7 linked regions of the Canis lupus familiaris genome follow. The protein of the gene in region 5 interacts with the protein of the main gene of each other region in a pairwise test. Links are inferred from orthologs where the notes say so. Each region holds a gene or a part of one and is shown on either strand. Other genes may lie near its edges. The genes, in order: ZNRF1, AMFR, TRIM17, RFWD3, UBE2D3, ZNRF2 and TRIM27.

Region 1 (4,156 bases), on a different chromosome or scaffold from region 5:
CTATCATAAATAAATAAAAATTAAAAAAAAAAAAAAGTTAATCACAGGGCAGCCCAGGTAGCTCAGCGGTTTAGCGCTGCCTTTGGGCCCAGGGTGTGATCCTGGAGACCTGGGATCAAGTCCAACGTCGGGCTCCCAGAATGGAGCCTGTTTCTCCCTCTGCCTGTGTCTCTGCCTCTCTCTCTCTCTCTCTCTCTCTCTCTCGTTCTGTGTCTGTCATGAATAAATAAATAAAATCTTAAACATAAATAAATAAATAAATAAATGTTAATCATAGTCATCTCACAAATACAGCTAGCTGTATTTTCTGGACCAAATTTTATGAGTAAGATTTTTAATTTCAAGATGTCTAAAAATGATCAAATGTCTAAAAGTGCCCAAAGCAGCCACACCTTGCATCTCATTTAGGGCAAAGACTGATGCAGATCAAGGAAGCTCCGATGATATCTAGAGATCTGTTTTGGAATTAAAAACACCACTTTAGGGACACCCAGGTGGCTCAGTGGTTGAGCATCTGCCTTTGGCTCGGAGCACGATCCCGGTATCCCGGGATCGAGTCCCGCTTTGGGCTTCCTGCAGGGAGCCCGCTTCTCCCTCTGCCTGCGTCTCTGCCTCTCTTTCTGTGTGTCTCTCGTAAATGAATAAATAAAATCTTAAAAATAATTAAAATAAAATAAAATACCACTTTAGCGATTCAAAATCCACTTTCAAGTGTTACCCCAAATTAGTCACTATTTCCCCCTCAAAAATTTATTTCACAAATTAAAGTTTATAGAATCGAAACAAAAACCAGACCATTTCCAGAAATTTAAAAAAAAAAGAAAAAAAAAAAGATTCAAAAAGTCTACCCTATTTCACAATAGCCAGAACAGTGATCCAACAAATACATCCTCCATAAGGCAACCTTTCTTCTTTCTACACAATATCTAGATCTTCTTAACTCTCCCAAAGAAGTCTGAATATGCTAACTTCTTCACTCCAACTTGCCAATTAACAAATAGTGGCCCCACACCCCTTTTGACCAATTTTCTAGAAGCCTAACCTGGCTTCTCAGGTTAGCTGAGCAGACAGACCTGTTTTCCTCCAAAAGCTCCTGCCAGTGCCTTTTCTGCCCTGCCAGTCGGGGCCTGGGAAATCCTCCTCCAGCTTTTTGCTGGCCTGTCATCAGAAGTTCACAAAATGAATGCATCCGGATTCTTTGAATCTTCTTCCCCCTGTTATGTACCAGGAGCCAGGCAATAAAGTCCCACCTCCCATTACAAAAAAGACACAGATTAGGAGGAAGACCCAGCACTTAGCATGGAGGGGAAGAAAAAAGATGGAGGGATGTGAGAGTCATGGAGCCAAACCTACTGCATGCAGCACCCGCCACCAGAGCCCTGGTCCTGCAAAGCCTCAGAGGGAGGCTCCCTGGCTAGGCCCTCCGTTCGGCAGGCCACACCTGTCTATGGCAGCAGCCTTCCGGCTGCTCCATTTTAAACAATTCAAACACATCTCCAGCAGGGTGGCAAAACTGGGCAACCCCTCCTCCCAGCAAAAGTGCGAGCCCTAATCCATCCAACACTTGGCCCCAATTTTCTTTCTTTTCACACTCTTTTGTTTGGGAGACAACTGCTTGGTCAAACTGGATCCCTCTCTCTGTTAACGGTTAGGCAGGCACAATGCTGCAGTGACAGAAAGGAAGCATCAAGGCCGACTTGCTCTAACCCAGAGGAGACCTCCTCTCTGAGGCCGGCGATGCCTGATAAATGGGACTTCAATGGGCAGGTTTCGCTCTGCTCATCCACAAGTGAACCGACGCCTGGAGTCCTAGAACGCCCGGCTCCGCAGCCTCGCAGGAAGCCTCTTCTCTACAGGGTAGACAGCCCATTCATCCCCCAGGAACCAAAGGAAAGGCAGACAGACCCAGGTCGCGCACTCCACATCCAAATGTTCGCAAGCGCGCGAAGGTTTGGGGCGCCCCGGCGCGCCCTCCCTTGCACTCCACCCTCCGAGGCCTCCACCGCCCGCGGACTCACCACTGTGCGAGCTGAACCACCTGGGTGCGATGTGCAGAGGTAGAGCATCCGCCAGCGAGGCTCGGGAGCCCAGGTACAGCATCCCGTCTCTATGGTGACCGCCGCCGGTCTCCTGGTAACCATTGCCATGGGCATAGGTGGAGTCGGACGCAGACCCTCCGCCGCCGGGCGCCCTCTCCGAGTCGCCGGTGCCCCGGGAGGCGGGGGTGTAGAGGCCAAAGGGCACCCCCCCGGCCGTGCTGGGGTCCATGCCCATGCCCGCCACCGAGCTGACCGAGCGGCTGCGCAGCCCCATGGCCCCGCCGCCCGCCCGGTAGTGCCCAAAGTGGGGCGCCCCTCCCGGCGGGGGCACGGCGCTGTCATCGGTGGAGACCCCCGGAAAGGGGCCCCGGGAGCGGGCCGCCGTGCTCTGCTTGCCCCCCATGCTCGCCCGGGCCCCGGTGGGGCGGGAACCTGGAGGCCGAGACCCTCCCCCACTTCTCAGCAGCGGGGGCAGGGCTGGGCGAGCATAAAGGGGGAGGGAGTCAAAAAGGAGACCGGGAGGGGGGGGAAAAAAAAAAACACGGGGGAAAAAAGAAAAAAAGAAAAAAGAAAAGAAACCCCCGCGGGGCGGAAGAGGCAGGCGGGCGGGGATCCCAAACTAAGAATTCAAAACGATCCAAGCCAAACGCATGTTTCCCCTCAAGGTCCAAAGAGGCGCAGTCCGGAGCGGGCTCGGCGCGCCACAGGCCGCCCCCGGGCTCCCGAAAGCCCGGGGAGCCGCAGGGAAGGAGGAGGGAGGCGGCGGGCGGGCGCAGGGAGGCGCCGGAGGAGGCCGCCCGCCGGACAGGGGGAGGCGGAGGAGGGCTGGGGGCGCCGCGCGCCGCCCCCGCCTCAGGACGCCGCGACCATGGACGCCGGCCCGGACCCCTCCAGGCCGCGGGCGGGCTGCGGCGCTGGGCGGCCAGGCGGAGCTCGGGAAGCCGCGGGCGCGTCGCGTCGCGCTCTCGCTCCAGCCGCCGCCGGCCCCGCCAGCCGCTCCGCCCCGCTCGGTCCCGGGCTGCGCTCGCCGGCGCTCCTCGCCGCCGTGGAGACAATGGAGGGCGGCAGAGCGCAGGCGCGGCCCGCGCCCCCTCCCCTCCCCCCCGCCGGGTTAACCCCTTCGCGGCCCCTGCGGCGCCGGGCCCTGCCGCCGGGAGGTCCCCGCGCCCGCCCGCCCGCCCGCCCCCCCCGCGACCGGCCTGTGACCCGCGTGGCCCGAGCCGCCGGCCGTCGGGAGCAGGAGCCAGGCGGCTTTTCAAGGCCAGCACTCGTTACGGCCCCCCAGATGGCTGATTGTTGAGGGGGAACCACCTACGGGAGGAGGGGCGGACACGGTTCAAAGCGCTGGGAAGGAACCGCAGGGAAGAATGAAAATTGCTCGGGACGCCTACCTGGCTCTGAGGGTCACCGGTCAAGCCTCCCTCCCCGCACGAATTTGCCCCCACAGCACCCTCTGGTGGACGTGCTGTCCGTTCTCGCGGAGCTTTCCCAACCAGGAACCCCTAAGCTCAGGAAGCCTGGCGTTTGGGGGATTCTTAGCTGGTTTGGGGGGTACGCAGCGCCCTGGGGCACTTGTGACCCCGGATGTTGCTGAGTAGATCTACCCTTCCTTCCTAAGGGTAGAGTCCTTAGCTAAAATGGGATCCTGAAAAATCATGAGGCGTGTGATAGAAAGTGCGGAGATGTAGACACAACTACAACTGGCGATCTTAGAAACTCCCTAGTCCAGGGCGAATCCCCGTTTTCGTTTACCTCTTATTCCAACATGCACCATAGTGGGACACAGTAGGTACTCAACAAGTATTTGTCGGACAAGTCTGCACTTTGCAATATGCCTTTCTCCCAAATTCGTGTCCGTCCATCCACTCATTCATTCAACTATTTTTTCAAGTGCTGGGTGGTGGCTGGCTATGAGCATCACCCAGTCCCTGGTCTGACTTCCTTGCTCTGAACGTCCTTTCCACATCGAGGAGTCAAAACAAGGTATAGAGAGAGAGAGTAAAAGAAGCCCCCCCCCCCCAAGAAAAAAGAAGAGCTGATCTGTCACAGAGTCCTGGTTCTCACAAAGCTTCAGAAGAGCCACTTCATGCCGACTATGATGGCTACAGTCAAAGAGG
Region 2 (3,536 bases), on a different chromosome or scaffold from region 5:
CCTAGGAGGAGAGCAAACTTAGCCTTGAGCTAGGCTCCAGCCCAAGTGCACCACTGCTTTATATCCAGTGGCAGAAAGACAGAGGGGCATGGCTGCGTTTGTTTCAACAGTCTTTATGTAGTTTCCACAAATGTTTCATTTACATGTACTAACCAGAGTTCCTGATTCTAAAACACTTAGCTCAGTTAGAGCTCCTTCTGAGGAAGCTTACCAACATATGAATATGGTGCATGAGGTCCAGGGACAAGAGAGTGAGCTCCATGACAAAATCTGTGTAATAGACATAGGTTCCTTTTCCTTCCCAAGTCCCTTCATGGTTGAGGTCCCAGAGGTGAATTACATATCTGCAGTGAACAGAGAAAAATCATTTTAGTAACTTACTGTTACAATTTAATTTGGCTTAAACATGATGCAGTATAGCCACATTTTTATAGATTTTATACATGTTACATCTTAAAATCAACTGTATGGGTAGACCTCAATCGCCTCCCTCCCAAAGTTCTACTCACCGTAAAATCACGTGAGCAGTCCTCACTGTCACAAGAAGAGACTATATAAAGAAAGATGTATTTTTTCTTTAGTAAAATTTGGAAATATAAAAAGCAAACATTTGTCAGTTCAATTACAGCACTGGTTATTCCCGGGGGGGGGGGGGGGGATGGATGGGACGAATGTGGTCAGAAGGTAAAAACTTCAGTTGCAAGATAATTAAGGAGTAGGGATGTCATCTCCAACATAATGAGTGCGGTTAACACTGCTGTGGTACTTCTGAAAGTTGTAGAGAGGGTAATCCTTCTCATCACAAAGAAAAAACCCTTCTCTTTCTTTTTCTGTATCTATAATGAAATGATGGCTGTTAAGGAAACTTACGGTGATAATCACTTCACAATCTATGTCAGTTAACCATTAGGCTGTACACCTTAAAAGTCAATGGTGTAAGTCAATTATATCTGAACAAAACTGAAATAAAAAAAGCAGGTTGTTCAAGTTTACCAACTATTTTTTTTATCCACTTCAAATTTCCATGAAATATTTTCATGACCTAGAAACCAACTTTCATTGAGCCTTTTCCTGTCAATAGGTGACAATCGATTATACCCGTCCATCTCCTGGGGCTGCCTCCTACAATCCTGAGGCTCATTCTAGTAGTATGACAATCACTTCTATTTTATACAGCAGGAAGTCATCATCACTGATTACCTCAAAGGGTGTTTGAATACTTGGTGATCCTATACCCAAAGTATAGTTTAGGTACCACAATCCAAGATGAGTACCTGCTCTCTACATAACGTTTTGTACACCCCCTTTGCCCACACAAAAGCAAAAAGAATGAAGGAAATAAAAAATAAAATAAGCTCTTCATAGTATTTGATATTACAGAAATTGATTGTAAGAAAATTTCCTCTTAAACTACCAGAATAGAACTATTATATTGTTTGAGATTTGGAAATTCCAGTTTATAAATGGAAAACATTTTACATAGAGAAACAGTATAAATTTTAAAATATGATTAAGTTCAAAATATAGAAACTATAACATGATAAATTATCTTAAGTCAATAGTAATGAGCTAAAATTATATACTATAGTATGATCCAAAAAAGCCTAATTTAAATGTCTTTATTTTTAGGTATACCTTTCCCAAAGTTTGGGTTAAAATTAATTAAAAGTAAAATAGTACGAATATCAGACTATCACGCAAATGGTGATTATAAAATATATGTAAAGCAAAGTAACATAAATCAATGCAAAAACATTTTTACACAGATTTTTTTTTCAAGAGGAACATACACAAAGTATTTATCTAGAATTGTAAATGATTTACTAAGTACCTAAACATCCCTTTCCTAATTTGTTACACTACATTGTATTCTGAAATCAATTCTATTAAGCAAAATAAAACTTTAAAAAAAATTTTTTTAAATAAATTCTTACCCATGTGGTTCTCAAACTCACAACACCCAGATCAAAAGTCACTCCACCAAATGACCCAGCCAGGTACCCCAATAAATTTTAATCCTATTCTAACAAATACCCAAAAAGTAGTTCAAACTTAGTGTTTTGATATTAGCTAATTAGCTTTAATAATTTATTATTTCATCTTTTTCTTTAATAGTAGCAATTACTATTAATTTTTAATTAATAGGAGTAATTAATAGTAGGCAAAGAGATATTTTGCCTTTGGCCTGAGGGAGAAAGCAAACATAGCAACTGAATAGAAGGACATATAAAAAATTTTATTTCTACTGAACAAAAATGATTATTTTCAGAAAGTTTTAAAGAGTAAATTTAAAATGTACATGAATATGATTGTTCTTCCAAAACAAAGAAGTTTATATATATTATTCTATAAAATCTTAATTTATATCCCATTTAAAATCCCAATTAATTTACGGAACATAACGTACGTTATTATTTTCATCTCAAATTCTCACACATATCTACATATTAAGTGTGTGTGTATTTTTTTCCTAGAAGGCTCCAACCCAACATGGGGCTTGAACTCATCACCCTGAGATTGCGAGTCCCATATTCCACCGACCAAGCCAGCCAGGTACTCCTTAAATAACCCAATTATAAAATATTTCCTTATTCATCACCACCAATCAGTCTTCATTATATCTTAGGAGGAATTGGGAGTCACAGGGCTTGAATTGTGCCACTGCTGACTCTGAAACTTCAAATCATTCACTGCACCCTCTACACTAGTTTTCCCCATTTATAAAGAGAAATAATAAAATGAGTCAACACACATAAGGTATTTAGAGCAATCCCCAGCATACAGTAAAGCACTATATAAATGTCAGCAAAACTTAATACTTTTTATTAAGTTGTAGCAAAGATTACAGGAAATCATACATTTCTCCCTTCAATATCAGTACCCAACACAAAAGCAAGGAATTCAAGATATGCTCATTAAGACAAAAGACCCTCAGTCACCGTGCAGGGGGCTTGAAAACACACAGGAGTAGATGGGGACAACACCTGCATCCACTTACCTCCGCCGCCATGAAAGCCAGCGTGTGCATCCCGTGCGTGTAGCCAGTGACACAGCAGACCACTGCTAATCCACAGCAAGAAAGCAGCATCGCGATCAACAGAGACAGAACCCGCCCGTGGCTACTCATGGGTGTGGTGGGAGAAAACGACAGCTGAAATGCACAATAGAGAGGAAAGAAGCTCATCCTTCTTCACTGTGGTATTAAGCTTCCCTGAGAAATGCAATGTTAGTGTTTGGGAGTCTCTGCTCAGGAACTCGGGCTTAGCAGCACCACCAAACACCAAGCACAGAAAAGCACCCCATTACTGGATGGTCAAAATTCTCCACCCAACTTAAACGTGAGCATGAGCGAATATTGAGAGATTTCTACTGCTTAATTTACGGAACATAACATATGTTATTATTTTCATCTCAAATTCTCAAGGATCTTCCTACTAGTGGAATGATAAGTCTCTCTCCAAGCAGTTTTCCAAAGGTATGTAATTCTCTCAACATTGGCTAGCACTCCAGACTGCATCATGTCCTTATGTGTTTCT
Region 3 (4,298 bases), on a different chromosome or scaffold from region 5:
GGGCTGCACAGGCCTGGAGCCTGTCATAGGTGGACTGTCCCTCCAGAGTCATCGCCGGAGTCCCCACCCCCAGGACCTCAGTAGGTGAGAGGTAGTTACAGTACAGTGAGGTCACTAAGGTGGGCCCAATCCCGTAGGATCCGTGTCCTTGAGGCAAGAGGAGTTTAGGATGCAGACACACAGAGAAATGGCCAGGTGAGGACATGGGGAGCAAATGGCCATGTACACGCCCAGGGAGGGAGGCCTCAGGAGGAACCAGCGCTGCCCACGCCCGGAGCACAGACTCTCAGCCTCTGGGACCCGGAGACAATAAAGTCTGTTGTTAGGGCCTCGTCTACAAGGAGGCGGTCTTCCCTACGCAGCCTCAGCTGACTGGAGTCCGAGCTTCCCTTGTTTGAATCAGTTCCTGCAGTTGGCCCACCCTGACCACACCTGCGCCTGAGCTCCTCCCCCACCAGCCAGGTGAGCAGGGGTGCTGAGGCCCCTCCCAGGTGAGCAGGGTGCTGAGCTCCTCCCCTCCCCCCCAGGTGAGCAGGGGTGTCGAGGCCTCCTCCCAGGTGAGCAGGGGCACCTGCTTCACCTGCAGCATCTGTAGCGGTGTGTGCTGGTTCTTGTCTTCCAACTGCAGCAGGAGCATCTCCAGGGCGTGGCCCTGCTTCTCAAGTGCTGCGGAGCTCTCCCGTAACTTGGCCACTACCTCGTCCTCCTCCTCCTTCAGGGCCTGGAGGAGGCGCTGCTCCTCCTCCACCAGGAGGAGGCCCATCTTCTCAAACTCCATCAGGATGCGCTGCCTCTGCTCCTTTACCTTCTCCTGCAGGGTCCCGTGGAGGGCAGTGGGCAGAGGTGTGCTCAGGCCCTGGCCTGGGGATCTGCTGCCCCAGTGTCCCCCATCTCTCTGGCCGGCTGCACCCACCAGCTTGAATGCTGGCAGTGCCCCCACTGCAGGGCCCTGGTGACCCACAGAAAAGGAGCCACCCAGGCAGGAGTGCAAGCATTTCTGTGGGGTGACCTGCTGAGCCCCAAACAGCAGTGTGCCGGCACCTGTGCACCCTCATCCACTGTGTCTGGACACAGCCAGCCTGGGCTGAGCACACATTCTGGATCCTGCTTCTGGTGGGAATCTGGGCTCTGTGTGTGTGCGTGTGTGTGTGTGCATGTGCGCACACGCTTATCCACACAGGACAGCAAGTCCCCGCCCCCTGAGGGCCTTCTGCAGGCTCTCCCACCCTGGCCACCGGCACCTGCCTGCCACTCCGCCAAGGTCTGTTTCTCCCTGGCCTGCATCTCTCTTGTCTTCATCATCTCCTCCCGAAGGGACCCAATGTCCGCCTCCAACTTCAGCTGTGGGGCACACAGACCACAGGATGTGGGGTCTGAGGCCCCCCCCTAGCCTGGCCAACAGATGCACCTGCTAACACCCTTCTGCGTAACTGTCCCTGTATCTACTCTGTGCTGTGGTTTGCATGTATCCTCCCAAGGTTGTGGCTGAGTCCTAACCCCAGCACCTCGGAGGGAGGAGCTAGGGCCTCTTGGGGGGCCATGAAATCATGAGGGTGGGCCCCCGGGACAGGGCCCCTCGCCCCTCCCTTCGAGTGAAGACAGGGAAAAGGATGAGCTCTCCCCCAGTGGCGCCGGAGCCCTGGCTGGCTGGGACCCCTCAACAACTGTGGCCCAACCACTGCATCACCATGGAGGGTGCAGACACGAGGGCCGTGGGTGCCGGCAGTCGCCCCCCCGACCTGTCTGCTGAGGCTTGTGCCTGGCCTCCTTGTGCCCCCCCCACCTCCGGCCGTCCATCCCCGGCCCCGGCCGCACCTTGTACTCCTGCACAGCCTCCTCGATGGGGACCACCGTGTGGGGCCGGTGCTCCCGCGACTCCCTGCACATGACACAGATGGGGCTCTGGTCGTCCTCACAGAAGAGCTTGAGGAGCTCCTGGTGCGCCTTGCACAGGTCCCTGCTCTGGAAGGCCGGGTGCTGGCGTGCCATCTCCGCCACCTTGGTCAGCAGGCGGTTGGGCCGCAAGTTCCTCTGGGGGGACAGCTCGCGACACTCGGGGCAGGGGAAGGAGCCCCTCCGCTTCCTGCCCCCCTTCCTACTTTTGGCCTTCTCCCACATTAGGCGGATGCACTCCCGGCAGAAGTTGTGGCCACAGGCGGTCATCACGGGGTCCGTGAAGTAGTCAAGGCAGATGGAGCAGGTGGCTTCCTCCTGCAGCTTTCTGGCGAGTTCCAAGGCATCCATGTCTCCTGGGGCAGGAACAGAAAGAACGCCCCTCACACCCTCTGCCCGGGAGCCCTGGGCTCTCCACGGCCAAGCCCTGTCTTTGGCCAGCCCCGCTACTTTAGGGGGGATCATCGTGCCAAGTTGGCTGAGAGTGCCCCCCCATGACGTCAGATCTAGCTCCTCAGGTCCCCGCTGCCCTGTCTAGAAGCCTTTAGGCCAGTCTGGAAAGAATCCCCCTCCCTATGTCCCCTCTTAGTGATTTTCCATGGCTGACCACCCCCTCTGCTCTTTAGCCTTAAGTCCCCCACCCCATCCTGCGAGCCGGTTCTGCGGGATCCCTCTCCCTGAATGGCAATAACCCTGAATAAATCTGTGTCTCCTGTTCCAACTATGGAGCGGCTCTGGTCCTGGACAACGTGCCTGCACATGTGCACAGAGCATACAGACAAGCACAAGTGCAGCTGCAGGCCTACACGTTGAGGCACATGCACACATGCACAGACATAGTATACACACACATGCTCACACACAGCACACGTGCACACAGTACACACACATGTACACAGTATACACACATGAACACAGCACACGCACACACAGGATACACATGCAGTACACACAGATGCACATATAGTATACACACAGGCACGGACACAGTATATGCACATGCACAGACACAGTATATATACACACATGCGCACACAGTATACACACATGTGCACACATAGTATACACACGTGCACCTGATATACACATGTGCACATGATATACACATACAATATACACATATGCACACAGTACACACACATATACACAGTATACGCATGTGCACAAACACTATACATGTGCACACAATATATACACACATGTGCACACACATGCCCAGAGGCACACATGCGCACACACACAAACATATACACATGCACAGAGGCACCTACACGTGCACACACATAGTTCGGGTGGATTTACCCCTGACCTCATGTTGTGACCTTAGGCATCCCATTCCCTGACAAGGGTTCCATTTCTCTGGTGCTGTCTCTGCAGAGACTTTGTAGTCAGTCTCTCCCTTGGCTCTCAGCCACAGGAAGGGGGGGGGCTGCCTACCTGCAGAAGCCGGGGAAGGGGGGCAGTCTGGTGAACTGGGGTCTGGCTCAGAATCCGGGGGCAGCAACTGGGGCCAGTGGAGATGACTGGCTGCCCTGCTTGCGGGAATGCTCCTTTGTAGACTGGGAGGGGGGCTACGTGTCTATAACCAGCTTCAACGCGGGATCTGCTCCCCGGGTAGCAGGGCAGGCGGTTGGACCTGAGCCTCCCCGCCCACTGGGTGGCCACCTGCTGCCCCGCGGGTCTATGGGGATGTACTCACAGGGAGGGGCCGCAGGCCGCACCTTGCCGGGTGCCCCCAGCCACGCGCGCCCCCGGCACCCCCAGAAAGCCTGCGTCTGTGTGCTGAACGCCATCTGGGTGACGGCTGCGGGGGCGCAGGGGCCGCGGAGGGTGCAGGGCTTTGTGGCGTCAGCAGGGGCGGGGGCGGTCAAAGGGCAGGGGCGGGGGAGGCTAGTTCCGGGTTGTGGGCTGAAGATGGGGTGGAGAGGGCTGGGGGGGCCAGCAGCCTGAGGGTGGGGGCGGAGGGGGGGCCAGCGCAGAGTGGGCCAGGGGTGGGAGGGACGGAGGGGGCTCTGGCCGTCCCCGCGGGGAGGGGGAGAAGGTATGGTAGAGAGTGGATGGGGAGGGGGTTGTGAGCCGTGGGGCAGGAGGTAGATTTCTTGTGGGGAAGAGAGGGGAGCAGAAGAGAGAGCAGGTGTGGGAGCCCGGTTGGGGGAGGTGAAGGGGTGTCTGGGGGGGCAGTGAGGGGGGTCACTGGGGGAAGGCAGGAGGGGTTGCCCGGTTGCTGGAAGTGAAGGAGTCTCTGTGGGGGAGGTGAAGGGGGACCATGGGGTGGGGGGAGGTATGGGGGTGCCCCATTGTGGGAGGTGAGGGGCTTCTCAGCCCTGCCTGCAGGCGGCCCACGTCTATGGTGTGGCTTTAATGGTGGTTAGCATGGGGAGGAGGGTGGAGAGTGGAGCCGGGGG
Region 4 (3,536 bases), on a different chromosome or scaffold from region 5:
AAAGTAGATACAATAGGCTACAAAACAGTATATGCAATGCCCTGTTTCTTTAAAAATGATCTGTATCACAACATACATCTTAAGCCAGGCAGATGAGAGAAACACCCTAGAGATGGTTGAATGACAATATGGAGGGAGCCTTGGTACTGGGCACCACGAGGTTACCTACCAGCTTGGAACTGCTTATTCCTGGTCTGTTACTGGGATCCTCCTGCTAAACAAAAATACTCTCCAGGAGCTTACTGTCTTGAGGTGTCGTGATTTCTCTCTCATCAGTAACCCTCAGTTACTGTATTTTATCCTTCATGTGCCCTGCAACTGCTATGACCCAGATCTGAATGTGCTGAGTGCCTTCATCTTTTAGAAAGTAGTTCTGATCAGACATCTGATGGTTGGCTTCCTGTTCTGCAGTTAAATCTGAGGCACATCATGATATCACTATCAGGCCTGATAAGCCTTCTGACTTTTTAAGAATGCTTCAGCTTGGGACACCTTGGTGTCTCGGCGGTTGAGCTCCTGCCTTCAGCCCAGGGCGTGATCCTGGAGTCCCAGGATCGAGTTCCACATCGGGCTCCCTGCATGGAGCCTGTTTCTCTCTCTCTGCCTATGTCTCTGCCTCTCTGTGTGTGGGTGTCTCATGAATAAATAAATAAAATCTTTTTTTAAAAAATGCTTCAGCTTAGCCCCAAAACTCAATATAACATTGTTTTATATTTATGTATGTGTTGTGTTTTTTCCTAGTGGTGTTAAAAAATAGGTGAAAAAAGTGCAGGTTAAACACCAAAGTGACATTAATGACTACCTCTGGGTAGTTATGGGTAGTTAGTTTTGTTTTTCTTGTAGGTAAATTCTAATTTTTTAGCGTTGAATATTTTACCATTGAATACCTGTATTATAGATAATTATGGAGAATTGAGGTAGAGTGGGGAATGTGCTGTTTAAATACCTTTTTAACTTATTTTATTTTCCTTACATTTCAAGAGGAAAACTTACATCCCCCAAAACAAATAATTTGTAATTAAAAGGGGTTACTAGGCAATCCCTAGAGAAACTTAGAAATCCCAAAATAGTTTGGATGTGTGGGTATGTTCTTAAGATTATCATTGGGGGCATCAGGGTGGCTCAGTCAGTTGAGTGTCTACCTTTTGCTCAGGTCATGATCCCAGGGTTCTGGGATTGAGCCTCACATTCAGCTTGCTGCTCAGCAGGAAGTCTGCCTCTCCCTCTCCCTCTGACCTCCACTCCCCCCCCCCCTTTGTGCTCGCTCTCTCACTCTCTCAAATAAATATCATCTGTTTTTTTAAAAAGATTATCAGTGAAATGATAATTTTTATATCTTTTTATATATTTGATTTTCTTAATGCGTAATTGTAAAACTCCTATATCTCCACAGCCTAGAGACAAATACAGTGGTCCAGACATATAATGCAGGACGTCCTGTCTGGAGCTGCTGCTGGTGTCTTGATGAAAGTAATCATATCTATGCCGGTCTGGTCAATGGTTCGATTCTGCTGTATGACCTTCGAAACACGAGCTCTCATATCCAGGAGTTAGCACCCCAGAAAGCCAGGTAGGGAGCCACTTACTTTTCCCTGTAGGTAGCAGCTTTCTGTTGGATATGAATCCTCTCTTTTGAGAATGTTTACATTTGGTCAGAATTTCTCACAGAGGGCAGTTCTCTGAGTCCAGTGATGTCTTCTCATTTTGGACTCCCTAAGATCCTTTGTATGTGTTCATGATATTTCTACATGGTAGAAAGTCCTAGTACCAAGTACAGCCAGGTTCATACAGTCACTCATCACCCAACATGGCAAAATGAAGTCAGATCTGTGTTCAAAACCCAGTTCTACTGCATAGGAGCTGTGTGACCTTTGTCACGTTTCTTGGCTTGTTAGAGCTATTGCAGAGGAAGAGATCAGTAAAAGGCCTATAAAAAAAAATGATTTAAAACTTCCCTAACCTCCAGCTAAACAAACTTGGTCTAAAGATACCATGTTACTATGATTTATCATTTATAATCCAGTTACAGAATTGGGAGATTTTTAGAGTCAGCCCAAATTCTGAGGATGGGTGGCCACCTGCACCACTATGACTCTTCAGAATGTGTTGAGTACCATTTGGGTGTAATATTCTCTTAAAGGCATAAATTTCTCAAAAGGAGAAGTGGTGGAGTCTGACTTAGGCCAAAATGAGAAGTATCTTAAAAGAGAATTTCTATTTCCAATGTGAATATATTTTGAAAGGGGGGCAGGGGATCTAAACAGAAAGATACCACTATAGTAACGATACAGTAATTGGTTACTAAACCTAGGCTCAGCACTTTGGAGTCTTTTCATTTGGGTGGGGTAGACTCATGCTTCAGTTATGCGGGCCTGAAGACAACTGATGTAAACTTTTACAGATGTCAACTCCTAACAAACACGCTAACTGCCATTGATGTAGAGGGATCCAGACGGAGTAGGCAAGAACATGGAGCAAATAGCAAGGAAAGGGTATTTGTATGTAATGTTCATTTCTGCTTTAGTTTGCTTCATTGTGATAGGGCAATGAAAGAAAGCAGACCAAGTGACCCCTTTGGCAACTTCAGCAGAAGCAAAGTTCATAGGAATATAGTGGCAGGCTAATAACTTCTGAGAGAATTCTTGGCATACAGTTCTGGTCATATGCTTGCAGAAAGAGATTTAGAATATGTCTAAAGAAACAATCTTGTTTCTGAATTAAAATGTGGTTGCTTCAGGGACACCTGGCTGGCTCAGTTGGAAGAGCACATGACTTGATCTTCGAGGTCTTGAGTTGGAGCTCCATGTTGGGTGTGCAGATTACTTAAAAAGAAAAATGCAATTGCCTCAGGCTATATTTTAATTGAAGGATCTGTCAGCTACAGCTCTTTATTAGATGTGTGAGCTGCATTTCCTTTTTTTTTTTTTTTTTTTTTCCTGCGTTTCCTTTCTGACTTTACTTATGTCTGTGGCCAACCCCTTTACCAGAAGCTTCACACCAGTCAAGCTTCTTGGATTTATGATCTTGTACTGTTAGAGTAGGTTGGTAGTTTTGATCCAATGTCAAAGGATAGTGACCCACAGAAGGTCTTTATTTAACCTCTTCTGTAGAGGTAGGACTGCTCGGGGGCTCCTGACACGGGTCTGGAGTCTGGAATTGTACAAGTACTGGAATGTGAAACATAGTTTTCTTTCTTTCCCTCCAGATGCCCGCTGGTGTCCCTATCCTACATACCCAGAGCTGCCTCATCTGCATTTCCATATGGTGGGGTGTTGGCTGGAACTTTGGAGAACGCTTCCTTCTGGGAGCTAAAAATGGGCTTTTCTCATTGGCCTCATACGCTGCCCATGGAGCCAGGGGGCTATGTAGACTTTCAGACAGAGAGCAGCACACGGCACTGTCTTGTGACCTACAGGCCCGGTGAGTGTTAGGATGTCCTGGTCGGACTTTCTGTGGTTTGTCTGGGAGCACATTGGTTCAAGGGAGAGAGAGAGAGTTTGCCCTGCCCTTCAGATAGCACCAAGAAACCCCTCACA
Region 5 (4,056 bases):
TCAGAGAACAAAGATTATTCTAGGAGAAGGGAAACAGGCTATGTGATGAGCACTTTAGTACTCTGCTATTCACGGGGCTGTACTCTGACCAGAATCATCTGTACCACCTGGGAGTTTGTTAAAACTGTGAAATCTCATGCTCCACCAAGGCCTACTACATCAAAATCTACATTCTGAACAAAATCCTTAGCTGATTCACAGAGATACTAGCTTGAGCAGGGTTTCACCAATTGCTCGAGTGACACTCCTCCTGACCACGTAAGCGGTATACATTAGCCCATTCATCACAGACCTACTTTAGCTTTTATTAGGTAATACTTTATTGTAACCAGAAATTGCTGCTTTTCTTTTTTTTTTAAACTATATTTTAAAAACAAGTTAATTTTCCTCTTTGATTCTTTAAAATATCCACTTCGTTAAGTCAGGAAATGTTCGAAAACTTTAAGCAGGTCAGCGCTTACCTTTAATCCTTTTAAAAATTACTGTCGTACCACCCCTTTGCCTGAAGGATACCCTAGAGAGCCAAACCACCTTCTCCATTATTTTACACCCGGCAGATTAAACAGGCCAATTCTGCTCTTCCCTTTCTGCCCGCCCCCGGATGTTTCAGTTAAGTAATACGTTTTTCTGACCCAAAACTCTGATCTTTTGAGTTTTGCAACTCTGTGGACCTAGAAGTTGAAACACGGCAAGAGGAAGAAGGAGGTGTTAAGTCTCTTCCCGTACCTCAATCCTGGCGGATGGTGACAGGCAAATAGCCTGCCCCTATTTCCCTACCCTCCACGTTAATCCATAGTTGAATCTGATGCCTAGACGACTGCGACTGGGAGGGGCTCTAGGAGGCCCCCTTTCCTCAGTACGGACCCTCTAGGTCAGAAACGCGCTGTGTCTCGGCACGTGAGAGCGCTCATCAGCGGTCCGCTCGGTTCTATTTACAACGAGTGTTGCACTTTGAGGGGTGCCTCCTCCCCCTGGTTAACGAGCCCGCACGGGCAGGCGAGTGCGGATATATTGCTCACCTGCTCCACCGAAATCTCGGAAGGCCCGGATCAACCTGGACTAAAGGTACCCGGTGATTAGCCCGTGGCACCTCCCGCCGCACATTCCTGATTGGGCGCGTGAGGGACGGACGCGCCGGCGCGCGCTCCAACCCGTCCGGGGAATTCCAGTTCCCCTCCCTCCCACCAGCAGAAGCATCCAGGGGCGGTGCTTCCCGACGACGGCCCGCCCCTACTCCAGCCGGTGCCTATTGCATCTCGCGAGAACTTGTAGATTCGGGGGGCGGGCCCCCAACAGGAAGAGCTCACGCAACTGCCCTTAAGTCATTGCAGGGCTATCGCTCCGGCTAGCCAGCCACGAGGTTCTCGCGAGATCCGCCGCCTCAATACCAAGTGAGGAAACTGGGGGACGCTGCTGGGAGGGGCGTGGGTCTCGACCGCGCAGCTGCCGCTTCCATTACCTTCCTCCCATGGTCTCCTTCCGGTTCTCGATGCTTCTCTGAGTCTGAGGGTTTCCGCCGCTCGTCCACCCTCCCCCCCCCCCCAGCCCATGACCCGCCTCCGGCCCCCGCCCTCCCAGTCCAACCTCCGATCTGTTTAGTAAGAAGGTGCTGTTCCGAAAAGAAGGAAGAGGGGGTAGCACAGATCAACTCGGTCCCGGACGTAGGAAGTAAACCGTCCCCCCGTCCCCCTTCGCTTCGTCCTGTGCTCGCGACGGCGGCGTTGGCGGACTGATACGCGGCGGTGAAGAGGCAGGAGGAGGGGGGAGGGGCGGAGCGTGGCAGCTGGCAGTAGTTCCGTCAGAGCGGACATCTTGTGGCTGTGTCGTGCGCGTGAGCCCCGTAGGGCCGGGGAGGCACCAGCTGCCGCGCGGGGAGGAGGCCGAGGCCGCAGCTTGAGGGAGGCCCCGGCCCCTCTGTACGCGTGGGTGTGGACGGCTAGGGGAAGGGAAGGGAGGCCGGCCCCCTGGCCGGCCGGGTAAGAGGGGAGATCCGGGCCTCGGGTGGCTGGAGTGACCAGCCTGTTGGGTGGGGTAGGGTGGGAAGGCTGGGGAAGCCGGGGCCTCGCCTGCCCAAGGGGGTGGGGGAATGGGCGCGTCCTCGCGCCCGAGCCGGAGCCTCAGGGGCAGCTCGGGCGCGTGGTGGCGGTGGCGGGGCGGGCGCGTGCGGGAGCGCGCTGGAAGGCGGAGTGTACGGTGGCGTCAGGGCCGACAGAATAGCTCTGGCTGCGGGGACGGCAACCTACAGCAAGTCTCTTTATTATTTCCTTCTCCTTCCGGGCCGCACCTTTGAGCAGAAACCGAAAGAACCCCGGCGTCAGTCCGGAGCCTCCAGTCTTCCCCCTCCCCCCTAGCCTTTCTTCGCCCTAGTGACGCCGGCGCAGCGCCGACTAGGCCCCGGCTCCTCCTCTGCTGGGCTCCGGACCCTGCCCCGCACCCACCCCTTTCTCCTACGCCTCTTCCTCTCCCACCCGGGTCTCTTTCGAGAGGCCGGGAAGTCAAACTTGTAGCCGCCCCCTCCGCTCTTCCCGTCACCCTCGCCGCCTCTCCGGGCCGAAGCACGGCATAGAGGCTGTTGGTGGCTTTGCCACGCCACCCCACCCACCCCGGATCGCGACCGTTTTAAGGGACCTGGATTCATCAGGGTCTCTCCGGGGCCTGTGCGAGTGCTGATCTGCTCCGTTTTTGCAAAAGGCGCCTGTGTCTGGCAGAGCCGGTGTGAGACGAAGAGAGACAATCCTTCCCTGCCGCCCGGGTAATCAAGAGTTTTGGCCGGACCTTTGAGCACACACCGAGAGAGTGAGGAGCCAGACGAAAAGCACAGACTATGGCGCTGAAACGGATTAATAAGGTAACCCACGGGGCTGAAGGGAAGGGGGTCGTGGGAGGAAACGAAGGCTCGGTCTCGGAGGAAAGCGTGGGGGTGGGGAGGAAGTATAATTAGGAAAACGTCTTTCCTTGGGTCACTTCTGTGGGGGGGGGGGGGATGGGAAAGAAAGGAGGCTTAAAGCTAGAGAACAGAACACTTGTGGCGAATGAGCTGTTTATCTTGAGTATGTTTCAGTTGGAGTCGGCCCAAATGAGGGGTGGGGGAGAGTGATTTTAGGCGCTTGGGTTTTGCTGCTAAAAAGAGTTTTTTAGTCTTGTTTGAGGGTCAGAATTGCCCAGAGACGCTCCCGCAGATGTCATGGCGCTCCCTAGTCTCGGTGCTTGAGAACTTTGGCTGTAAGATCAAGGTTTTCGGGTTTTCTAGGGGGAAGAGTCGTAGGAAACTCCTAGGGGAGGTGATAGAAATCTGGCGGGTCCTGAACCTAATTGGGGGTCGGTGTAGAAGTCTCTTGGCGGCTGAAGAGTAGTGACTGAACCTAGTTAAACTTCATCGACTCTGAGCAGGTTACACAAGAATAAGTGGGGCTGGGAAGAGATGGGCTGACACGATGTTACCACTTCCTATGTTTTGTAGTTGAGACTTCTCACTCGAATTTATAAGAGGGACGCTGCGAACTGGTGTAAAAGGCTTCTGGAAGCTCCCTTCTTTTGACTGGGGGGTGGGGGGGTGGGCGGTACGGGTGTGATGGCAGTAAGGGAAGGTTTGGTGTACCTATCTTTGTCTCGGCTGATTTTATAACACTTTCGGAGATGATTGGCTACTTGAAACGTGGTTTGATAGAAACTATTGATAGATAGAAGTTGAAAGAAATACGTTTTTTCGAGCCTGGGGGGGGCGCCGGGTGAGCGGAACCTTCACCTCCGGTGGTTTAGTCTCATTTTCTTGCTCTAACTTCTATCCCGCATTTTAAGATGGCGGCTGCTTTAACTGGTTCAGGCTTTTTCCGGCATCTCCTTTCGTCATTATATGAAATAATATTCTTTGTTAAATGTTAACTTTTACATCAGATTGTACACAGCTCTTGAGACGTCCTGCTGAAGACTCGATGTTCAAACTCTCAAACTGCATTTCCCTTTTTTGTAACTTGTGTATGTGTGGTGTATTTGGTTCTTGCACAATCGAGGAGGGTGGAGTATTTACAGCTAACTTGAAAAAAATGTCATGGAATA
Region 6 (4,058 bases), on a different chromosome or scaffold from region 5:
CTGTAGGAAGATGCGTTTTTACATAAGAGTATTCCATCTCCCTGTGTCAACTAGGATTTAAGGTACCTGCACATTGATTTGTTCTTATCATACAATGGGAATAGGTAATTTCTCTGAACCCCTTCCAGGCTCTCTCAACTGGAGTTCCTCATCTCAACTACCAAACAGAGTATCTGACTGTTTTCTCAAATTTCAGAAGAATGACACATACCTAGAATCATTCTAAATGCAAAGGAGAAAAAAAGTTAATTAGCTGCATACAATAGATGTCTTAGGACATTAAGGGCTCTATTCTCTACAGAGACCTGGTTAGGAAAGGCTGCCACAAGTTCTACAGTGTCACTGTACTATTAGCTCCAATCATCCTAACCCTGAAAGTACAAAAAGAACTAAGTGCACAAAACTAGGAACTTAAATTTTTAAAAAAAGGATAAATTTACTTTACTTCTACTTTTATGAACTAGGTCTTTTTCATTTGCTAACTTACTATGAATAGCAGGAATATCAACTATTTGCCCACCCCACCCCCCACTCTGAATGGAAGGTATTTATTTTCAGAAAATAAATCCTTACAGATATACTAACTCTTTGTTAAGGGTAATTATCAGCCAATTAGGAAAAATACAGTAATCAGTATATTAAAGAAATAAGATAATAATTTGACAAGCTTTCTTATTCCTTTAACAAGCTTTTAAATATACCTTTTGATGATCATAACTGCTAAAAGCAAATTTTCACTTTAAAAAGATATTTTTAAAAACCAGCTTATCTTTTATTCTTGCACTAATCTTCCATTCTCAAGAAACTGTCTTTTGTTATTCCTCAGTGTAGTGACTGACTACAGCTGTGTTAAGATCAAACTAACCTTCAACTGCATTAATTATGCTCCAATCACAGTAAGAACAACACCAGTTCTTTATCTCAAAAATTAAAGATGGTTTTTAATGGCGCAATTTTAGGAGTGTCGATATTACTATTTTCATAGCAAAATTATAACAAGTAATTCAAGAGTTGTTCTTGATTGAATGTGCAAGGCAGCATAAATGACATGAAAAAAACGAAACCTGACATTCCCATTTTCAATTTGCTAACATGAATATTGAAAGTACAGAACATGAGAACAGATAAATTACTGAACATTCCACTTGACCAACTCAAATTTCTCACCTCTGTGGGGGGAAAAGGGGGCTACAAAAATGGAGGGAATGCCTTTCTCACTGTTCGGGCTGTGCTCACTTGTGAATTTATGTAAGATCACAGCACATAATGCAATGATATGGGGATGTTTCTCTACTACTGTAGTCAGCACCCCCGACCAGATCAAACTTCAATTTCTTCTCACCAACTGGGAAGGGGGGGGGGGGGTGTCTTGATTCGTTTACGATGCTAACCGTTTTTAAGGCAGAGTAAATCACTATAGAGCAGGACTCGTGAGGCCGAATTCAGTTTCCTCTGATCAAGTGCACCCTTCCTGTTTCCACACAGAAGCTCATCGTTTTGCCGTTGAAAATTTCCAGTTACCACAAAGTGACTTTTCCTCGACTCCTAGTCAGCACTGCTTTCCAGTAAAAGCGCCTATGCTTTTCACCGCGTCTTTTAGGCGGAGTTCTGGTCATCGGGCTTCTCTTTGACAAACTGCTTCCAATTTTTAAAACGCCCCGGTCCAAATGAATCGGAGCTCGCGTTCGCCGTTACCCAGAGCAGCCGCCGGCCGGGGTCCAACACGTCTCCCACCGCACGCGCGGCCGATGCAGCCGTCCGCGGTAGGTGGGGCTGTTTACAGAGGCTGCGGGGCTACGGCTGTACGTGAACACTCGGACTCCCTCCTTCCTCAGATACTCCTACGTTCCTTCGACCCGCTCGGACTCTCGGCCTTTTTTTTTTTTTTTTTTTCTTTTTTTTTTTAAAAAAAAAAAAGCTCACCGCTCGTGTCCCCAGTTAGAAAGAACTACGTTAGGCAACCAGCCGGTCTTCTCCCGACTTCCTGATCCTCAGAGCTACAAAAGCACGAGGGCTGGCGCAGCGGTTTGCTGGAGAAACAACCTTTGCTCCATTCACCCCGGGGGGGGGGGGGGGGGGGGGCGGGGAACGCAGGGCTTCCCGTCTGGGCACCCCCGGGTCGCGCAACCGACGCCCAGGGAGGGGGCGGCGCGGCCGGGGCTACGCGGCGACCCCCGCCCCCCCCCCCACGCACTCCCTCCACGCACCCCCCCCCCCCGCCCTCCTCCTCCCAGAGCGCTGGGCGAGCCGGGCCGCGCGCTGAGGTGCTGCCCACGTGCAGGGAGAGGCGCGGAGAGCCGGGCGTACCTCCGAACATGTGCGGCGAGAGGTGAGCCGGTAAGGAGCCGATCACCAGGCGCGGCCCGCCGGGGCCCCCGCCCGCCGGCCGGTCCCTGCCGCCGCCGCCGCCGCCGCCGCCGCCGTCCTCGGGGCTGCTGTGCACCGAGTCCTGCGAGCCGTACGGGCCGCTGCTGCTGTTGGGGATGCTGAAGGACGACTGCGCCGCGCGGGCCGCCGCCGCCACGCTCCCCACGGCCCCGCCGAGGGAGCGGCTGCGCGGGGCCGCCGAGGCCGCCGCCGCGCCGCCCGAGCCGCTGGGCTGGTGCGCGCCCGGCACCTGAGCCGGAAACCTCGCCGCGGCCCGCGCGCCGCCGCCAACGCCGCCAACGCCAACGCCGCCAACGCCGCCGCCCGCCGTCCCGTTGGTCCCTCCGCCGCTGCTGGAAGGTAGATCCGAGCCCGAGTAGGCGCGGGTGCGGCCGTTAGCGGCGGCCGGGCCGCTCTGCTTGGCGCCCATGTCCGCCCTGCCCCGGGCCGGGAGGGCGGGAGCGAGCGGGCAGGGCCGAGGCGCCGCGGCCGGCGCTGCCACCAGCCCGCACGTCCAGGGCCGCCGCCCGGAGCCCCGAAGGGCGGTCGGCGCCCGGCGCGCTCCGGGGCTCGCGGGGCGGGGGCGGGGGCGGGGGCGGGGGCGGGGGCGGCCCGCCGGAGGCCGCGGGGGGAGGCGAGGGCAGGAAGGAGGTCGCGCCGCGGCCGGCTCAGGTGGCGCTGCGGCGGCCGCCGGTTTCGGTTCTGAGGCGCCGCGACGGGCCGCTGCCGCTCTCTGCCGCCGTCGCCGCGCTCTGCGCTCCGGGCCTCGGTACCGCCTCCTCCCGGGCGGCCGCAGCCACCGCCGCCATCCTCCGGCTCACACGGCGGCGGCTCGCGGCTGAGGGGGAGGCGCCCGCCCAGACTCCGCCGGGGCCACCTTCCCTCCTCCCCCAGCCACCCAGCTGGTATTAACGGAGGAAAGAGGAAAAAAAAAAAAACGGGCGGCGCGTGAGGGGAGGACGGAGGAGGGGAGGGGAGGGAGGGGCGGCGCGCGCTTCCCGGCAACCGTCGCCGCGCTCCCCGCGGCGAAGGAGGGGCGCGGGGGGCGGGGGGCTGAGGGCCCCGGGGGTGGGGGCTGTGGGCGCCCGGCAGGGGAGGAGGCGCCCCGGCTCGCACCGGAAGGCCGAGGAGCAGCGCGGCTCCAAAGTGCACCCGGACTCGGTGTTTGGGTCGCGGGCGGGCGGGCGGCCCCACCCCCGCCCCCTCGCGCCGCCCCGCGGATTGGCTTCCGCCGGCCCGGCCCCGCCCCCCGGCCCCGCCCCCCCCCCCGCGGCCGCGGCCTGCCCGCCCCGCCCCCGCCAAGGTACAGCGGTGTGGTAGGTGCTGCGGCCCGTGGGCTCGGTGACGGACGGGCCGTTGGCCCCGCCCCCTCCGCCACCGCGGGGCCGAAGCCGATTGGACGGACGGAGCCCCCCGGGGCGCCAACCAGAAGGCGGCCCCTCCCCTCGCACGTGGCCCTGGGACCCTGGATGAGACCGCGTCTCCCAACTTGTCGTCTTCCCTGCTGGGGGGTTGGGAAGGGTCTGTCTCCTGGGTCCTGAGCCTTCGGTTTGCGGGGGGAGGGGTGTTTGGGGAGGGGGTAACCCCCTCATCCGTGTTACTCAGAGCGTGTCTTTTAAATAAAACAGAAGCTCAGCGATGTTGATGATAAAAAACTAAGAACAGCAAAAACATAAATAACCCAAGAGGGC
Region 7 (3,536 bases), on a different chromosome or scaffold from region 5:
CCTGCTCTCCCACGTCAAGACAATAAAAGCTACCATGTTTTTGCTACCAAACCTCAACCTGCCTGCATCCCCACCTCCCCCCCACCCTCCTCTCTTCCCAAAGATCTTCCAAAACTACATCCTATACATGTGCTTAGTCCCCTTTCCCTTCCATCTTTTCTGACACAGACATTAGTGATAAGTTCATTAATTTTACAGCTTCAATGACTTTCCTCACCCAGATCCTTACAACAGACTCTCCTCCCACATGATCTCTGACAATATGTTTAGTTTGTTTCTTTAAGCATCCCTTCCCACAAAGTCCCACAATCCCCACCTCTCCTTATGGTCTTACCCCTTAACCCAGACACCCATTCCTACAGTGGTCACACACCCTGCCAGTCACCACTGTCCCTAGGATGGTTCCTTAGGGAAGTGTTAAGTGTTTACTGTGGCACTTCTCTCTGAGGGCATTAGCAATGCCCGTGGCTTTAAACCAAATGCGTGTCAGCCCTTAACTGCATGAGACTCTGCTGTCCACTCCTCCTTCCTGGTCACTTTCTGCTTCTCTGATCAAGTGTTCACTTTGCAAACTCCTCCTTTCCTCCCTGGCAATTAAATACTGGTGGTCATTAAGGCTCAAGGCTAGGCCTTCTTATTAGTCTAAAGCAGGACTCAACAAACTTTTTCTGAAAAGCCAAATAGTACATATTTTGGGTTTTTAACTCTGCTCTGCTGTGGCAGTGGGAAAGTAACAATGCACACAGTATGTACAGGAATCCAAGTGGCTAAGTGCCAATAAAATGCAGACAACAAAGTTTGAGTTTTATAGAATTTCATATACCATGAAATAAAATCTTCAGATTTTCTCCAAACGTTTAAAACTGTAAAAACCAGGGGGCCTTGGGTGGCTAAGTTGGTGAAGTGTCTGACTCTTGATTTTGGCTCAGGTCATGATCTCCGGGTCATGAGACTAAGTCCCACAATAGTTTCTGCACTGAGTATAAAGCCTACTTAAGGTTCTCTCTTCCCAGGACACCTGGGTGGCTCAGCAGTTGAGCCTCAGCCTTCGGCTCAAGGTGTGATCCCAGTCTGGCAATCGAGTCCCGCATCGGGCTCCCTGCGATGCACCTGCTTCTCCCTCTCTCTCTCACTCTCGTGAGTGAATGAATGAATAAATAACATCTTTAAAAAAAATTCTCTCTTCCCCTCTTCCTCCACTCTTCCTATTAAAAAACAAACAAAAAAAAACCCCTCCCAAACTGTAAAAACCACTTAGCCTGAAGGACATACAAAAACAGGTGGTGGAGTGGTTTGCTGACCTGTGCCCTATGCCATCATCCCTTTTAATGGCATTTATGAACACCCATTACACCCACTGTTCTCTTTATTTTTTTTTTTTTTATTTTTTTTTTTTATTTATTTATGATAGTCACAGAGAGAGAGAGAGAGGCAGAGACACAGGCAGAGGGAGAAGCAGGCTCCATGCACCGGGAGCCCGACGTGGGATTCGATCCCGGGTCTCCAGGATCGCGCCCTAGGCCGAAGGCAGGCGCCAAACCGCTGCGCCACCTAGGGATCCCTGCTGTTCTCTTTAGTACCTGACTCTGACATTAGAATATACATTTCAGGACAGCTTTTCACCACTTAATCCCAGTGCCCAGAATACTGCCGGACCCAGAAAAGACAATTCATATGCACTCAATGAACAACAGCACATTTCCTGTGGCCTTGCCAGGTTAGGTCAATGCAGCTTTGTAACTACACCCAGCTTAAATCACAGGGACCGCTTGGGCCAACCACCTGCTCCAGTGCTCAGTTTTGTGGCTGTGCTAATGTACACATATATGTTAAAATTACAGGACATTTCACTGAGTATCTTTACTCAAATCTTTAAATGGCATGTAGGCTGAACCTCCCATTACACCAGGAGTAGATCAGGTCACTGAGGCCCAGAGAGGTCAAGAGTGTGATCAGACCACGTGTGGGTACAGGACAGGCCTAGGCATTAGGTCTTCCTCTTGCCCTTCCCGTGAGACAATGCAACTGACCGATCCAAGTTGTGTCAACTGGAACTTCTGTTATGCATGTTTTCTCTCTGACAAGCCCAGAGAGCTGAGCTAGGGCTTGTTACTCCTAGAGTTGACCGGGGCGGGGAGGGGGAGGTGCTCCATACTGCCTAGCAAAGAGGGAAGGGAGACTTTTTGGCAGGAGCCACGTTGGTGGGACACTCCACACCTCCATGCCTTACCTGCAGGAGCTCCCTGGTGGGCTGCTGCTGCTTCTCTTCTAGCTGGGCAATCAGGCTACTCAAGTGGGAGATGTTGCAGGAGAACTGGGTGATGGCACCGTTGATGCTGTTGTAGATGGCCAAGTCTAGCTCCTCAAGGCGGGCCAGGAGGCGATACTCATGTTCCTTCAAGGAGTGATAGAGCTGCTCAAACTCCCAGACAATCTTCTCCCTCTCCATCTGGGTCAGGCTCTGCGTAGATGACAGGGGAGGGTACTGAAGGACAGAAGGCTCCCTTCTAGAGCCCTTCATGTCTGTCCCTGACTACCTACCCTGAGACCTCATCATCTTGTCCCGGCATGCTAAAACAAGCATCCTGTTCATTCACTCCTGGTCTCAGGCTTTACCGACTAGACACAATGGCTGAGAAGTGAGTTACCCCAGAAATAAGGAATATAGTCACAGGAGAGCCCGGTTCACATGACACATGCAACCACAGGTAGTGAGGACAGGATGGCCTGCAGTGGGAGAAGCTGGTACAGCCTTCACAGAGGCAATGTAACACACACAGTGTGGTTGGAGAAACAGGGGTTCACCATGTGGTCAAAGGGTAGACACGCTTTCCTGGCAGAAGAAACGACGGGAGAGATGGTGAACGATGGTGTCTGGCAAAGCACCTAAGTTTTGAGGGAGAAGCCAGAAGAGGTAAGAGAGAACACACCTTGCCTGGAAGGCCAGGGTGGGGCAAGACTTTCCTGCAACTAGGAGCCGTGAAAGGGAAGTGACTGGGTTCAGATATATGCCATGTGGGGTGGACTAGGACACTCAATCCTCGCATCATGACTGCAACCACGTCACCAAGGCCCTTCCCGTGCGGCCCTCACCCCCTTTCTGGCCACCAGGGCTGTTCATCACCTACCCTCATTGGCTATGGGTGTGGTGCCCTTCTGGAACAGATGTTTGCCAAAACTAGTCTACCCTTCCTTCTCTATCTACCTCCCACTGCCAAAACCCTGAGGCTCTCTGCTAAACAAAGTGTCAGCAAGCTCCCTTTGTTTACTCCTGGGGAATTAAGTTTTCCTGGGGCCCAGCCACACCCATCATTCACATATTATATTATGCTGCCTTCAGCTGTCACGACAGAGTTGAGTAGTTGTGACATAGACTAAGTGGCCCACGGAGTCAAAAATCCTGACTATGTGGCCCTTTACAGATGTTTGTTGACACCTGTCCTGAGCTCCACTCTTCCTGAGAACCTTTCCCATGACCCACTCTTCTCACCACCTTCCTAAGCACTCTCTGTGCAACACACTGAGGAGTGAACACA

The links.
Region 1: the proteins of UBE2D3 (region 5) and ZNRF1 interact in binary tests that used the Homo sapiens proteins (3 or more experiments, as listed by UniProt). The link is inferred for Canis lupus familiaris from reciprocal best matches to the Homo sapiens genes UBE2D3 and ZNRF1.
Region 2: the proteins of UBE2D3 (region 5) and AMFR interact in a two-hybrid assay, tested with the Homo sapiens proteins (2 studies listed by BioGRID and IntAct). The link is inferred for Canis lupus familiaris from reciprocal best matches to the Homo sapiens genes UBE2D3 and AMFR.
Region 3: the proteins of UBE2D3 (region 5) and TRIM17 interact in a two-hybrid assay, tested with the Homo sapiens proteins (2 studies listed by BioGRID and IntAct). The link is inferred for Canis lupus familiaris from reciprocal best matches to the Homo sapiens genes UBE2D3 and TRIM17.
Region 4: the proteins of UBE2D3 (region 5) and RFWD3 interact in a two-hybrid assay, tested with the Homo sapiens proteins (2 studies listed by BioGRID and IntAct). The link is inferred for Canis lupus familiaris from reciprocal best matches to the Homo sapiens genes UBE2D3 and RFWD3.
Region 6: the proteins of UBE2D3 (region 5) and ZNRF2 interact in a two-hybrid assay, tested with the Homo sapiens proteins (2 studies listed by BioGRID). The link is inferred for Canis lupus familiaris from reciprocal best matches to the Homo sapiens genes UBE2D3 and ZNRF2.
Region 7: the proteins of UBE2D3 (region 5) and TRIM27 interact in a two-hybrid assay, tested with the Homo sapiens proteins (2 studies listed by BioGRID and IntAct). The link is inferred for Canis lupus familiaris from reciprocal best matches to the Homo sapiens genes UBE2D3 and TRIM27.

Annotation. Positions count from the first base shown.
Region 1 is NC_049226.1:76,271,063-76,275,218, forward strand, and holds the start of ZNRF1 (E3 ubiquitin-protein ligase ZNRF1), read right to left. Parts: upstream 2,819-4,156; 5' UTR 2,443-2,818; coding exon 2,019-2,442; intron 1-2,018. UniProt on the Homo sapiens protein: E3 ubiquitin-protein ligase that plays a role in different processes including cell differentiation, receptor recycling or regulation of inflammation. Mediates the ubiquitination of AKT1 and GLUL, thereby playing a role in neuron cells differentiation.
Region 2 is NC_049223.1:59,049,382-59,052,917, reverse strand, and holds part of AMFR (E3 ubiquitin-protein ligase AMFR), read right to left. Parts: intron 3,152-3,536; coding exon 2,999-3,151; intron 551-2,998; coding exon 510-550; intron 345-509; coding exon 212-344; intron 1-211. UniProt on the Homo sapiens protein: E3 ubiquitin-protein ligase that mediates the polyubiquitination of lysine and cysteine residues on target proteins, such as CD3D, CYP3A4, CFTR, INSIG1, SOAT2/ACAT2 and APOB for proteasomal degradation.
Region 3 is NC_049235.1:306,416-310,713, reverse strand, and holds the start of TRIM17 (E3 ubiquitin-protein ligase TRIM17), read right to left. Parts: upstream 2,834-4,298; 5' UTR 2,359-2,833; coding exon 1,816-2,358; exon of another isoform or gene 1,342-1,815; coding exon 1,246-1,341; exon of another isoform or gene 812-1,245; coding exon 581-811; intron 463-580; exon of another isoform or gene 1-462. UniProt on the Homo sapiens protein: E3 ubiquitin ligase that plays important roles in the regulation of neuronal apoptosis, selective autophagy or cell proliferation.
Region 4 is NC_049226.1:76,566,550-76,570,085, forward strand, and holds part of RFWD3 (E3 ubiquitin-protein ligase RFWD3), read left to right. Parts: intron 1-1,393; coding exon 1,394-1,570; intron 1,571-3,205; coding exon 3,206-3,420; intron 3,421-3,536. UniProt on the Homo sapiens protein: E3 ubiquitin-protein ligase required for the repair of DNA interstrand cross-links (ICL) in response to DNA damage. Plays a key role in RPA-mediated DNA damage signaling and repair.
Region 5 is NC_049253.1:15,659,563-15,663,618, forward strand, and holds the start of UBE2D3 (ubiquitin-conjugating enzyme E2 D3), read left to right. Parts: upstream 1-1,228; 5' UTR 1,229-1,391; exon of another isoform or gene 1,392-1,430; intron 1,431-1,540; exon of another isoform or gene 1,541-1,750; intron 1,751-1,758; exon of another isoform or gene 1,759-1,976; intron 1,977-2,691; 5' UTR 2,692-2,824; coding exon 2,825-2,848; intron 2,849-3,578; exon of another isoform or gene 3,579-3,975; intron 3,976-4,056. UniProt on the Homo sapiens protein: Accepts ubiquitin from the E1 complex and catalyzes its covalent attachment to other proteins. In vitro catalyzes 'Lys-11'-, as well as 'Lys-48'-linked polyubiquitination.
Region 6 is NC_049235.1:43,124,121-43,128,178, reverse strand, and holds the start of ZNRF2 (E3 ubiquitin-protein ligase ZNRF2), read right to left. Parts: upstream 2,813-4,058; 5' UTR 2,798-2,812; coding exon 2,308-2,797; intron 1-2,307. UniProt on the Homo sapiens protein: E3 ubiquitin-protein ligase that plays a role in the establishment and maintenance of neuronal transmission and plasticity. Ubiquitinates the Na(+)/K(+) ATPase alpha-1 subunit/ATP1A1 and thereby influences its endocytosis and/or degradation.
Region 7 is NC_049256.1:27,401,739-27,405,274, forward strand, and holds part of TRIM27 (zinc finger protein RFP), read right to left. Parts: intron 2,462-3,536; coding exon 2,231-2,461; intron 1-2,230. UniProt on the Homo sapiens protein: E3 ubiquitin-protein ligase that mediates ubiquitination of various substrates and thereby plays a role in diffent processes including proliferation, innate immunity, apoptosis, immune response or autophagy.